Linked DNA regions of Callithrix jacchus. The protein of the gene in region 3 purifies or fractionates together with the protein of the main gene of each other region. This does not show direct contact. Links are inferred from orthologs where the notes say so. Each region holds a gene or a part of one and is shown on either strand. Other genes may lie near its edges.

Evidence for each region.
Region 1: the proteins of CDK8 (region 3) and MED7 purify together in Homo sapiens (affinity purification with mass spectrometry; 7 studies listed by BioGRID and IntAct, counting the BioPlex papers as one, with this or other methods). This does not show direct contact. The link is inferred for Callithrix jacchus from reciprocal best matches to the Homo sapiens genes CDK8 and MED7.
Region 2: the proteins of CDK8 (region 3) and MED1 purify together in Homo sapiens (affinity purification with mass spectrometry; 14 studies listed by BioGRID and IntAct, counting the BioPlex papers as one, with this or other methods). This does not show direct contact. The link is inferred for Callithrix jacchus from reciprocal best matches to the Homo sapiens genes CDK8 and MED1.

Annotation. Positions count from the first base shown.
Region 1 is NC_133503.1:19,918,515-19,922,262, forward strand, and holds the start of MED7 (mediator of RNA polymerase II transcription subunit 7), read right to left. Parts: upstream 2,307-3,748; 5' UTR 2,262-2,306; intron 1-2,261. Other genes in the region: GARIN3 (Golgi-associated RAB2 interactor protein 3), read right to left, coding at 2,522-3,682. UniProt on the Homo sapiens protein: Component of the Mediator complex, a coactivator involved in the regulated transcription of nearly all RNA polymerase II-dependent genes.
Region 2 is NC_133506.1:119,911,335-119,915,082, forward strand, and holds the start of MED1 (mediator of RNA polymerase II transcription subunit 1), read right to left. Parts: upstream 2,317-3,748; 5' UTR 2,114-2,316; coding exon 2,089-2,113; intron 1-2,088. UniProt on the Homo sapiens protein: Component of the Mediator complex, a coactivator involved in the regulated transcription of nearly all RNA polymerase II-dependent genes.
Region 3 is NC_133506.1:145,427,583-145,431,330, forward strand, and holds the start of CDK8 (cyclin-dependent kinase 8), read left to right. Parts: upstream 1-1,236; 5' UTR 1,237-1,752; coding exon 1,753-1,880; intron 1,881-3,748.

The DNA.
Region 1 (3,748 bases), on a different chromosome or scaffold from region 3:
ACTCCAGACCAAAGGCTTTGACAGGAGTTCCGCTTTATCTCTCTCCTCTACCCCACCTGCCAACCTGTCACACTCCTGTGTGGCTTTCCCAAAGGCCCTCTCAGACTTCTGAGTGTGTGCCTCTCTCTCTCCATCTAACTGTATCCACTGTTTCAAGAGTCGACTCCCAGAACATCTTAATCTCAGGTTCTATGGTCTTTATTGAAAGCCACAAGGTGAGATTTTCCAGCCGCCCACCAGAGCAACTGAGAAGGGATTCCCCTGATACTGACAGGCCACTACTCCTCCCAGAATACCTTGCTTCTCACCTCCTCCATCTGCACTACACATATTTGGTCTTCAGAGAAAGTCCCTAAGTTTTGCCAGAAACTCAACTTCTGTCCTCCAAGGTACTGCTGCAGAGAATGAGCAAAGACTCAAAAGGCTGAGCAGTTGCTCCCCTCCTGGACTTACATGAACACACATGGCTCCCAGAATCATTTTTCTCAAATTGAATTTTTATTATCTGATGTTAATACTGTAATGTTTTTCATGGATTCATTTTACAGGTTTTTTTTTTTTTAATGGAAAGACAATTTTTTTTACAATAAAACTTTTTAAAATTTACAATCCCGTTTCTAGGGATTAACTTCCACATGAACACATAATTTACATCATGTTAGTACACAGCATTTTGGACTATTTTATTTCTTAATACATTTAAACATTTTCCATGTTTCTATATTCTGAATATTTTTATGTTACTTAGAATTTTTGTTTCGTACCTATTGAAAGATGTCTTTCAGAGTTAGATTTTTTTTGTCATAAATCTCTCTTGTGTGGGTGTAAAAAGGAAAACATTGGTGAAATAAATTGGATAGGGCGTTTCTAAGGCAGTGACATACAATTGACACTTTGCTGGAAGTGATTTAAAAACAATCCTGATTTCAGAGATGTTAAAATAAAGACACAATAACAAACCTCCATGAATACACCCTCTTGTTTAAGAAATGGAATAATCATGATTCTGTTGAAGCTGTTTGTGTGTGCCTCCCAGATCAGACATCTCTCCCTTTACCCTTTCTCTTCTTTCCTTTTTTTATCCATATCCTGAATTTTGTGATTATCATTTCCTTGTTTTTCTCTATACTTTAAGCAAATATATATCCCATAGTTGAATCTTATTTTTGAACTGTTCTACAAATTGAACTATATCATATATATTTTTGTGACTTGCTTTTAGTATCCCATATTATGTGAGATTTATCCATGCTAGCTGGGCACAGTAGCTCATGCCTGTAATCCCAGCACTTTGGGAGGCCAAGGAGGGTGGACTGCTTGAGGTCAGGAATTTGAGACCAGCCTGGTCAACATGGCAAAACCCTGTCTCTACTAAAAATACACAAAATTAGTTGGGCATGGTGGCACATGCCTGTAATCCCAGCTACTTGGAAGCTGAGGCACTAGAATTGCTGGACCCTGGGTGGCCAAGATTACTGTGAATCAAGATCACCTCACTGCACTTCAGCCTGGGTGACAAACTGAGACTCTATCTCAAAAAAAAAAAACAAAAAAAATGTATCCTTTCTAATAGCCGCTATTCATTTACACTGTTGTAGATTATGCACTGTAGTTTATTTCATAGCTTATTAATTCTCCTGTTTGATGAACACTTGAGGATTTCCAGGGTTTTGCTATTACAATTTGTTTTACTATAAACATTCTCCTAGTTGTCTACTGGCAAGCATATGTGAGAATTTCTCCACTGTCTACACCTAGGAGGAAGACTTGTTAAGACTAGATCAAGAGTCAGCACATTTTCTGTGAAGGCCCAGATAATATTTTAGACTCTGCAGGCCATATGGTCTCCATTGCAACTACTCATATCTGTCATTTTAGCGTGAAAGCAGCCATAGACAATATGCAAAGGAATGGCTGTGGCTATGTTCCAGTAAAATTTTATTTACAAATCCAAGCAGCTGGCAAGATTTGGACCTCAGAATATGGTTTGCCAATTCCTGATCTAGATGCATAGATTTCCTATTCTAATTGCCTACAAATGCTGCTGCACTGCTCCTTCCTCCCCTGAATACCCTCTGAGGGGATGTGAATCCTGTCTCTGCCTAGTCTATGGACTGGACTGAATGTCCATGTTCAGGAGCATTCAGGGAAGAGAATGGGCATGGGGACGTGGTGGTGGTGCATCCAGCTCTTAATCTGTGACTTTGACAGTCTAGGGGAAGCAAAGGCAGAAAGGGGTTGAGGCAAAGCAAAACACTCACATTGGCTCTGCTGGGCCTGGGTGGGTGGTAGGGCTCTACCTGCCTGGAGGCTGGGGTCTCAGGCTGTAATGTGGTCACCATCACAGAAGCCACTGTGAAGTCACTGCCAGGCTATGGGGCAGAAAAAATTCAAACAGGAGATTTTATTTATTTAGGGGTTGTATGATTTCCTTTATTATTTAAACTGCAGTAAAGAAAGCTGGGATGGGCTCTCTAGGGATACTTCCCAGATCCCTGGGAGTTGTAGCCCTGGCTCCTATTTAAATGGATTTGGTTTCAAAGATGGTCATCTCCATCATCTTGGATGTCACAGTGCCACTGATCACCTCCAGCTCCTGGGCTTTCTCCACTTTGGCCTCTATGTTTTGCTTCTCCGCCATCTTAGCCACGATGTCTACCTCTCTGTCGTGTGATGTGACCCTTGTTTTTGAACCAGCAGTAGCCCTGAGGCTCCTTAAAAAAGACATGATTTTACTGGGTTTCTTACTTAAAGCTCCTGTACTAGATGTGGATCGGTTCTTCCCCAGTTTGTGAGTTGTTCTCGACTCCTTTTTGGTGGAACTGTGGCTGGAGCTCTTGCGAGAGGAGCCACGTCCCTTGCCCCTTACCTTGCTGCGCCCTTGTTCTTTTTTGTCATCTCTCGTGTTTTTATGGCCGGATATAGACCGGTGGGAGGATGCTTTCTGGGTCTCGTCTCCTGCTGTCCTGCGGTGACTTTCACCTGCCTTGCGGTGATGGGAACTTTTCCTACTGGGACGTTTGTCCTTCTTTTTTCTTCTTTCCTTTTTTTCATTCCAGGCTTCAGCACTGGGCTGGGAAAGCTTCTGGCTTCCATTCCGTTCACTCATGTAGCCTTCGCTTTGCAAGGTGGACACGAGGGGTCCCAATGCTGGTCCTTGAGTTCTTTCTGCCACACACTTGCCTGTCGTCATACTGCCTGCAAATGCCATACTCAAGCTGCTGTCTTGGGAGAGATGGGCGGCCCCCGCCATCGTGGTGGAAGAAGTACCTGCCAAGGAGGTGCTTGCAACACCCACCAAGGCCAAGTTCATACTATCTGAGGATATGTTGGCAGCACCTGCCATGGACTTGCTGGATTCATTTTCTCCCGGATTTTTGATGGCTGCTCCCGCCAGCGCTGTGGTCACCTGGCCTGGGCCTGCAGGTTTGCTTGCTGCTATGCTCACAGCGCCTGTTGCAGGACTCATTGCTGTGCCTGCTATTGCCACACCTGCTCTGGGGCCTGTTGTTCCTGCCATGCCACCTGCTGTCCTTGCTGCTGCTCCTTCAGCAGCCATTCCATGGGAGGCATGTTGGATTCCTTCTCCCCCAGCATAAGCAGAAGAGGTGACTGCAGATACATCACAAGACTTGTGAAGCCCAGTCTCACTCTGATCCCCTTTTCTGTGGAGCTCTGCAGCCTGTACCAAGGGGAGGAGAAACAGGTGAGATAGAGATGACTGAAAGAGAGTTCAGAACTGTGTGCT
Region 2 (3,748 bases), about 26 Mb from region 3:
TATAATCCTAGCTAGCACTTTGGGAGGCCAATGTGGAAGAATACTTGAGCTGGGGAGTTCAACTACAGCTGGGGCAACGTAACAAGATCCCACCACTTTAAAAGAAAAAAATAGCCAGGCTCTGCTAAGTGGCTCACGCCTGTAATCCTGGCACTTTGGAAGCCCCTTCTCTACTAAAAATATAAAATTATCAAGTGTGGTGGTGCATGCCTCTAATCCCAGCTACTTGGGAGGCTAAGAAGAATCACTTGAACCCAGGAGGCAGAGGTTGCAGGAAACTGAGATTACATCATTGCACTCCAGCCTGGGCAACAAGAGTGAAACTGTCTCAAAAAAAAAAAAAAAAAAGGACAGTCTTACTCAGTAGCTAAGGCTTGAGTGCACTACTGGCACAATCATAGCCTATTGCAGCCTCGATCTCCCAAGGTCCAGGATGAAGTGATCCTCCCAGCTCAGCCTTCAGAGTAGCTGGCACTATAGCTAATTTTCCTTTTTTTTTTGAGACAGGGTCTCACTCTGTCACCCAGGTTGGAGTGCAATAACATAATCCTGGCTCACCGGAGTCTTGACCTACAGGATTCAGGTAATCTGCCTACCGCAGCCTCCCAAGTAGCTAGACTACTGGCTTGTGTCACCACGCTCAGCTAATTTTTGTATCTGTTGTAGAAACAGGGTTTTGCCATGTTGTCCAGGCTGGTCTCCAACTCATGGGCTCAAGTGACCCTCCTGCTTCGGCCTCCCAAAATGCTGGGATTACAGGCTTGAACCACTGCCTGGCCCTAATTTTTTATTTATTTATTTATTTATTTATTTATTTTTGAAATGAAGTTTCACTTTCATTGCCCAGACTGAAGTGCAGTGGCAAAATCTTGACTCAATGCAACCTCCACCTCCTGGGTTTGAGTGATTTTCCTGCCTCAGCCTCTCAAGTAGCTGAGATTACAGACAAGCCACCATGACCAGCTAATATTGTATTTTTAGTAGAGATGGCGTTTCACCATATTGGCCAGGCTGGTCTTGAATTCCTGACCTCAGGTGATCCACCTGCCTTGGCCTCCCAAAGTGCTGGGATTACAGGCCCTCACGCCCAGCCAATTTTTTTATGTTTTTGTAGAGAGAGGGTCTCACTATGTTGCCCAGGCTGGTCTCTAACTTCTGGGCTCAAGGGATCCTCCAGCCTCAGCCTCCTAAAGTTCTGGGATTACAGATGTGAGTCACTGCACCCGGCCCCACCTTTTGACCTCTCCTCCAAAACATACTTCTTGTTGTCCTTGAGAAACCTGCTGATAGGTAACTTTACTTCAATGCTCAGACATTTTTTGAGCGACTATTTACGTCAACGCTTATTTTTTGAGCAACTATTACGTGCCAGAAACTATACAAAAATTAATCAGGCAAGGTCCCTAATCTGCAAAGCTCAGAGTAAATTGAAAAAGATAAACAAACAATAATACAGCTCACTGTATCAACAGAACTATGCCCAAAATGCTAAGGAAGCATCTATACTGGAGTGTGGAACTTTAGAGAATCTTAGTAAAGTTCCACAGAAAAGTTTGTTTTTCTGCAGTTCTTAGTTCAGTCAATAAAAGAAAGGGAAAAAAAAATGAAATTCAGTGCAGTTTAAAAACACACAATAGCACGGGATCTGAACACTTGACATTGTAGGGAACTGCTGGCTGCTAATAAATATAAGGACCTAATCATTTCATTTATGCCAAAATATCCTCCAGTACGTTTACCCACAGCCCTGTATTTACTCAGACGTCTCTTCTGGAACGAGATGTAAGCTGGTTTTGTATTCACTGGCCCGGTCTCCCACCACTTTAAGCCAAAAGTGCCCTGAGGCCCAACCGACTGTCCCTAGTCGATCAGGAAATCTTCACAGAAGTTGAGAGTCCCCATCACCCCAAAGTCGGAGCTCTATATTCACCAAGGAAGGTATAGTGAGAATCTAAAACTCATAAACATTCCCTCTCCTGGACTCTATGCCCGTAAAGTGGCCCCTATCGGACATTGGCAGGAACCTCCTCTCACAAACCGGCTCCCCAAATTGTGTCCCGCCCCCTCCTTTCCCCCTCGGTCACTTACCCTCGGTTTCCCCCTGAGCTTTCATCCTGAAGGCGGGGAGAGCCTGGATCTGCCACAAAGGGATAAGCCCTTCCCCGCCACTAACGGGGAAAACAAGTTGGCCCGGGATCCCGAGACGCAGGGCACCAGCAGTCCCTACTCTTCCCGGGAAGGATCAGTCTGAAGTCCCCGGCGACAAGAAGAGAAGGGTGCTCGAGGCCGCCGCCATCTTCCCCAACGGAACTTCCCAAAATTCGCGAGATAAACCGTGGTCCTGCCAGAGGGAGGAAGAGGACAGGGCATCGAAATCTCGCGAATATTGGTCAATGCGTGGGCCTCGCGAGATTTCTTTCAAGCTAGTCCTGTCTTTGCTCTGGGCTGTCTCAGGCCTGACGCTGCTGGTTGTTAAAACTGCGGGCCAGTAACTTACAGCTCCCCTGCGGAAACCAGCATTTTCTTTTTTAATTTGAGCAGTTAAACAACTCGCAAATTAAAATCTCCAGATCTCTCTACTGAAAGACTATCTTTTCAAAGGCTATTGGTATCAGGAATGTATGTTTTCCGTGAGATACTAGATGCAATAATTATGTCCTAAGAAAGCTAGTGGCGCATTGTAACATGACATTCAAAGACAGCCTAGCACAATTAATTCCCCTTTCTTTCCTTCTTTTTTTTTTTTTTTTTTTGAGACGGAATCTCGCTGTGTTGCTAGAATGGAGTCCAGTGGTGCGATCTCGACTCACTGCAATCTCCCTCTGCCTCCTGGATTCAAGCGCTTATCCTCCCTAAGCTTCCCGAGTAGCTAGGATTATAGGTGTGTGCCACCACACCAAGCTGATTTTTGTGTTTTTAGTGGAGACGGAGTTTCACTATATTGGCCTCTATCTTCTGACCTCGTGATCCGCCCGCCTTGGCCTCCCAAAGTGCTGGAATTACAGGCGTGAGCCACCGCGCCGGCTTCTTTTCTCATTTTTTTAGTTTCAAAACTTTCTTTCTCTTTCTTTCCTTCTTTCTTTCTCCTTCCTTCCTTCCTTTTCCTTCCTTCCTTCCTTTTCCTTCCTTCCTTCCTTCCTTCCTTCCTTCCTTCCTTCCTTCCTTCCTTCCTTCCTTCCTTCCTTCCTTCCTTCCTTTCTTTCTGACAGAGTTTCACTCTTGTTACCCAGGCTGGAATGCAATGGCGCGATCTCGGCTCACCGCAACCTCCATCTCCTCGGTTCAAGCCATTCTCCTGCCTCAGCCTCCCGAGTAGCTGGGACTACAGGCGCAGGCGCCATGCCCAGCTAATTTTTGTATTTTTAGTAGAGACGGGGTTTCACCACGTTGACCAGGATGGTCTCGATCTCTTGACCTTGTGATCCACCAGCCTTGGCCTCCCAAAGTGCTGGGATTATAGGCGTGAGCCACCGCGACGGCCTCTCTCCTTCCTTCCTTCCTTCCTTCCTTCCTTCCTTCCTTCCTTCCTTCCTTCCTTCCTTCCTTTCTTCTTTCTTTCTTTTTCCTTCCTTCCTTCCTTCTTTCTTTCTTTTTTGAGATGAAGTGTCGCTCTCTCACCCAGGCTGGAGTGCAGTGGCAGAACCTCGGCTCACTGCAACCTCCGCCTCCTGGGTTCAAGCGATTGTCCTGCCTCAACCTCCAGAGTAGCTGGGATTACCGGCACCCACCACTATTCCCGGCTAATTTT
Region 3 (3,748 bases):
CGGGTGGATCACGAGGTCTGGAGATCAAGACCATTCTGACTAACACAGTGAAACCCAGTCTCTACTAAAAATTCAAAAAGTTAGCTAGGTGTGGTGACGCGTGCCTATAATCCCAGCCACTCGGGAGGCTGACGCAGGAGAATCGCTTGAACCTGAGCTGAGATGCTGCCACTGCACTCCAGCCTGGGTGACGGAGCGAGACTCTGTCTCAAACAAACAACAAAAATAAAGTGCAAAGTTCATATTCTCTTTGGGAAGTGGGGAGCTTTAGTGGAAATGGTAACAATTGGAAACCAAAAAACAGACAATAAAAGGGATAAGATAAAATGATAGATTAGTAACAAGATACCAGGACTCCTGAAGCAGACATATTGCTACCTTAAAATTATTAACAAACTAGTTTCCCCATGGTTTTAGATCCTTTCTGTAATCATAGCTAGGAACTGGTGTTCTTATAGGCAGTATCGTAGAAAGCTGTACTGTACTCAGTGCATCCTGTAAATGGATGGGAAAGGTTTGGATGGTCATCTGTCACCAGAATAACAATGTTTAGGAGTAGCTTGGACACTAGTCATTGATTCACTTTTATTGGTGTTTGTAATGTCAGTATGTTGACATCACTGTGCAGCCCTTATCAGATTGTGAACACCAAGAGTACCCTAACGCTGGCCCGCAAGCTGTTTACAAATATATTAGCTTTTATAGATGATGATAGTGCCCTTTAAAATATGGAGTTCAGAGTGGCACAAAAAATGTGTTTCTAATGCAAACTACCCTCCTTCCCAGGTGCATGTCTTTGGTTAAGTTTATGGCTGAAATCAGACTGTAGTAAGATATCTGTAAAAATAAAAATAAATAGAAATAGAAATTTCCCCCAAGAGATTGAAATGAAATCCCACCCTAGACTACGAGTCCCGTCATGCAACGCTCCCACATTCCCACCGTGTGGGGCGGAGTCGTAGTAGGGGCAGCAGCGGCAGCGGCCTGTGGATTCTGGGTATTGTAGTCTGGGGCCCGGCCACTGCTGGGGCTGGTCCCACGTGGTGCGTTTGGCGGCAGCTTTGGGCACTGGCTCCCCCGCTTCCTCCACACGGTCCTCAGGGTGCCGGCGCCTGCAGGGGTGGAGAGCCACCGCGGGAGCGGGCTGGGGGGTGGCCCGGAGGCAGCCGAGGCTTCGCGACGTTTTTGCGACAGCCGCGGCCGTGTTCCGCGAGTGCCCTCCCTCCTCCTCTCTTTGAGGAGGTACCGGCTGTTGTGCGGCGCTGCCTTTCTGTTTGAGTGTATGGGAGAGTGAGTGAGTGAGTGAGTGTGAGCGTGTGTGTGAGAGAGCGTGAGGCGTGAGTGCGCGTGTGAGAGGACGAGAGCCCGCCTGGCCGCCCCGCCGCTCCCGCCGCAGCAGGAGCAGAACGCACGACTGGAGAGAGCGGCGGAGCCGGCGCCCAGGGAGCCCGCGGGGACAAGGGCAGAGACACCGCTCCCCACCCCCAGCCCTCGTCCCTCGACTCTCCTTCGCCGGGGGATCCTCCCCGTTCCTCCACCCCCAGCCGGCCTCTGCCCCGCCGTCCCCCTGGATGTCCCCGGCGCTTTCGCGGGGCCTCCTCCTGCTCTTGCCGCATCAGTCAGGCTGGTGCTGCGGCCGGCGGGCGTAGAGCGGGCGGGTTCCCGGGGACTGCGGCTGCCAGTGCTTCCCCGGTCCCCACCCCTGCCCCCCCGACCCCCCGACCCAGCTCTCCGGCCTCGGAGGCTGTGACAATGGACTATGACTTTAAAGTGAAGCTGAGCAGCGAGCGGGAGCGGGTCGAGGACCTGTTTGAATACGAGGGCTGCAAAGTTGGCCGAGGCACTTACGGTCACGTCTACAAAGCCAAGAGGAAAGATGGGTGAGTGTGTGTGTCTGGGCCGGTGTCCGCGCCGGGCGGCGCTCCCGCAGGCGGAGGCAGGTAGCCCGGAGGGAGAGCGGGCCGCTGGGGTGCCGGGTTCTGACTTCCTCGACGCCGGCATCTGGCTCCGCCAGCCGGGTCTGGGGAGGAAGTGGTGTACGAGGGATCCAAACCCACAAGAAATCCTGCGTGCCGCATCTGTGTTGTGCTTTGGTGGTAAGAGGGAAGAGGAGCCTCTGCACCATGGGCTGTATACTTTTCAAGGATTTCAAAGCTGATTTATGAAAAAATTCGTTCTAAAACGCCGGGTTAAATGATTTTCTTCCTTTGGTGGATTTATTATGGTAATCTGGGGATTTCCTCACCCGCCTCTGGAGTGTCATCCATCGGTCTAGAAGGAAGGCTGTGATCCTTTCCCCCACCAGTTTGTGATCGATTTTTAATCAAATTTGGGTTTTATTTGAGGGAAGGAAGGCAGCGAGTAATGTGGTTCTGAAGAGAGTTCCCCATAGTGATCATCTGCAACATGAATGTTGCAATTGCTATTTAGATATTATTAGCTGTGAATTTTTACATAGAACAATGGGGGTTTGGTGCAGGGTGGGTGGTGGGGAAGAAGGCAAGTGACATAGGTACTATCTCATTCAGGCTGTTTTCCCCAAATTTAGCGGTTGGCAGTGAACTTTAAATAATCCCTTTGCTTTAAATATTCTTCCCTAGTAACAACTTAATTAAATGTATGACTGGTAATGCTTCCAATTTAGTTTCTTAACAGGCAAGTGAAGTGTTCATTTTTTCTCTTTGTCAGTAGATGAATGTCTTGTAATATTGACGAAAGAGAAGGCAATTCTTAGTTGGGGGGAAAATATATTTTATTAACTCCAGGTTTTCTTGTAAAATGGGTGTTGTCTCTTGCCTTTGACAGAATAGAAAATTATTGAAAAGTCAAAGCTTATTGTATAATTTTTGGATTTTATTAGATACAAAGTAGCATTACTTGAACATCCCAGTTTAGTTACCTGCTATATGATGTTTAAACTAATCACTTAAAATTTCACATTAGGTAGGAGAGTATGTTCAGACTACATCAGCACTGAAAAAACCCAAACCATTCATAAAGCTGAAGTTCCCTGATGTGGGGGAGGGGGGCGCATATTTATAAATACTTCAGTATTCTGGATGTGGAAAAAGAAAGTGGGTATTTATTCAACATTTTTCTTAGATTTACTGAGATATCTTTCTAAAAGTATTTAAAATGGACTCTACGAGGAAGGTAGGAGTTCTGATTAATTTGGAATGTGTATTGTGGTGCTTTTATGCAACAGTAAAGTGGTACAGATCGGCAGAAGGTAGGGATTTAGATGTGAAAACTTGATACTCTGGGCGCCGCACGTGTTTAAAGGTACTTTTTTTTTTTGAGACGGAGTTTCGCTCTTGTTACCCAGGCTGGAGTGCAATGGCGGGATCCCGGCTCACCGCAACCTCCGCCTCCTGGGTTCAGGCAATTCTCCTGCCTCAGCCTCCCGAGTAGCCGGGATTACAGGCACGCGCCACCATGCCCAGCTAATTTTCTGTATCTTTAGTGGAGACGAGGTTTCACCATTTTGACCAGGATGGTCTCGATCTCCTGACCTCGTGATCCACCCGCCTCGGCCTCCCAAAGTGCTGGGATTACAGGCTTGAGCCACCGTTAAAAGTACTTTTTAGCCGGATGGATTGTCTGGTGACATTGGAGAAATCAGCGTCTGGAGATACTGCTGACTCGTTGTCTAATTAGACTTATCGTTGAAGTTTTACTCTGTGATGACATATGTTTTTTAAATTATGTTTGTTAACTTATTATACAATATTTTTCAAAACCTTTAAAC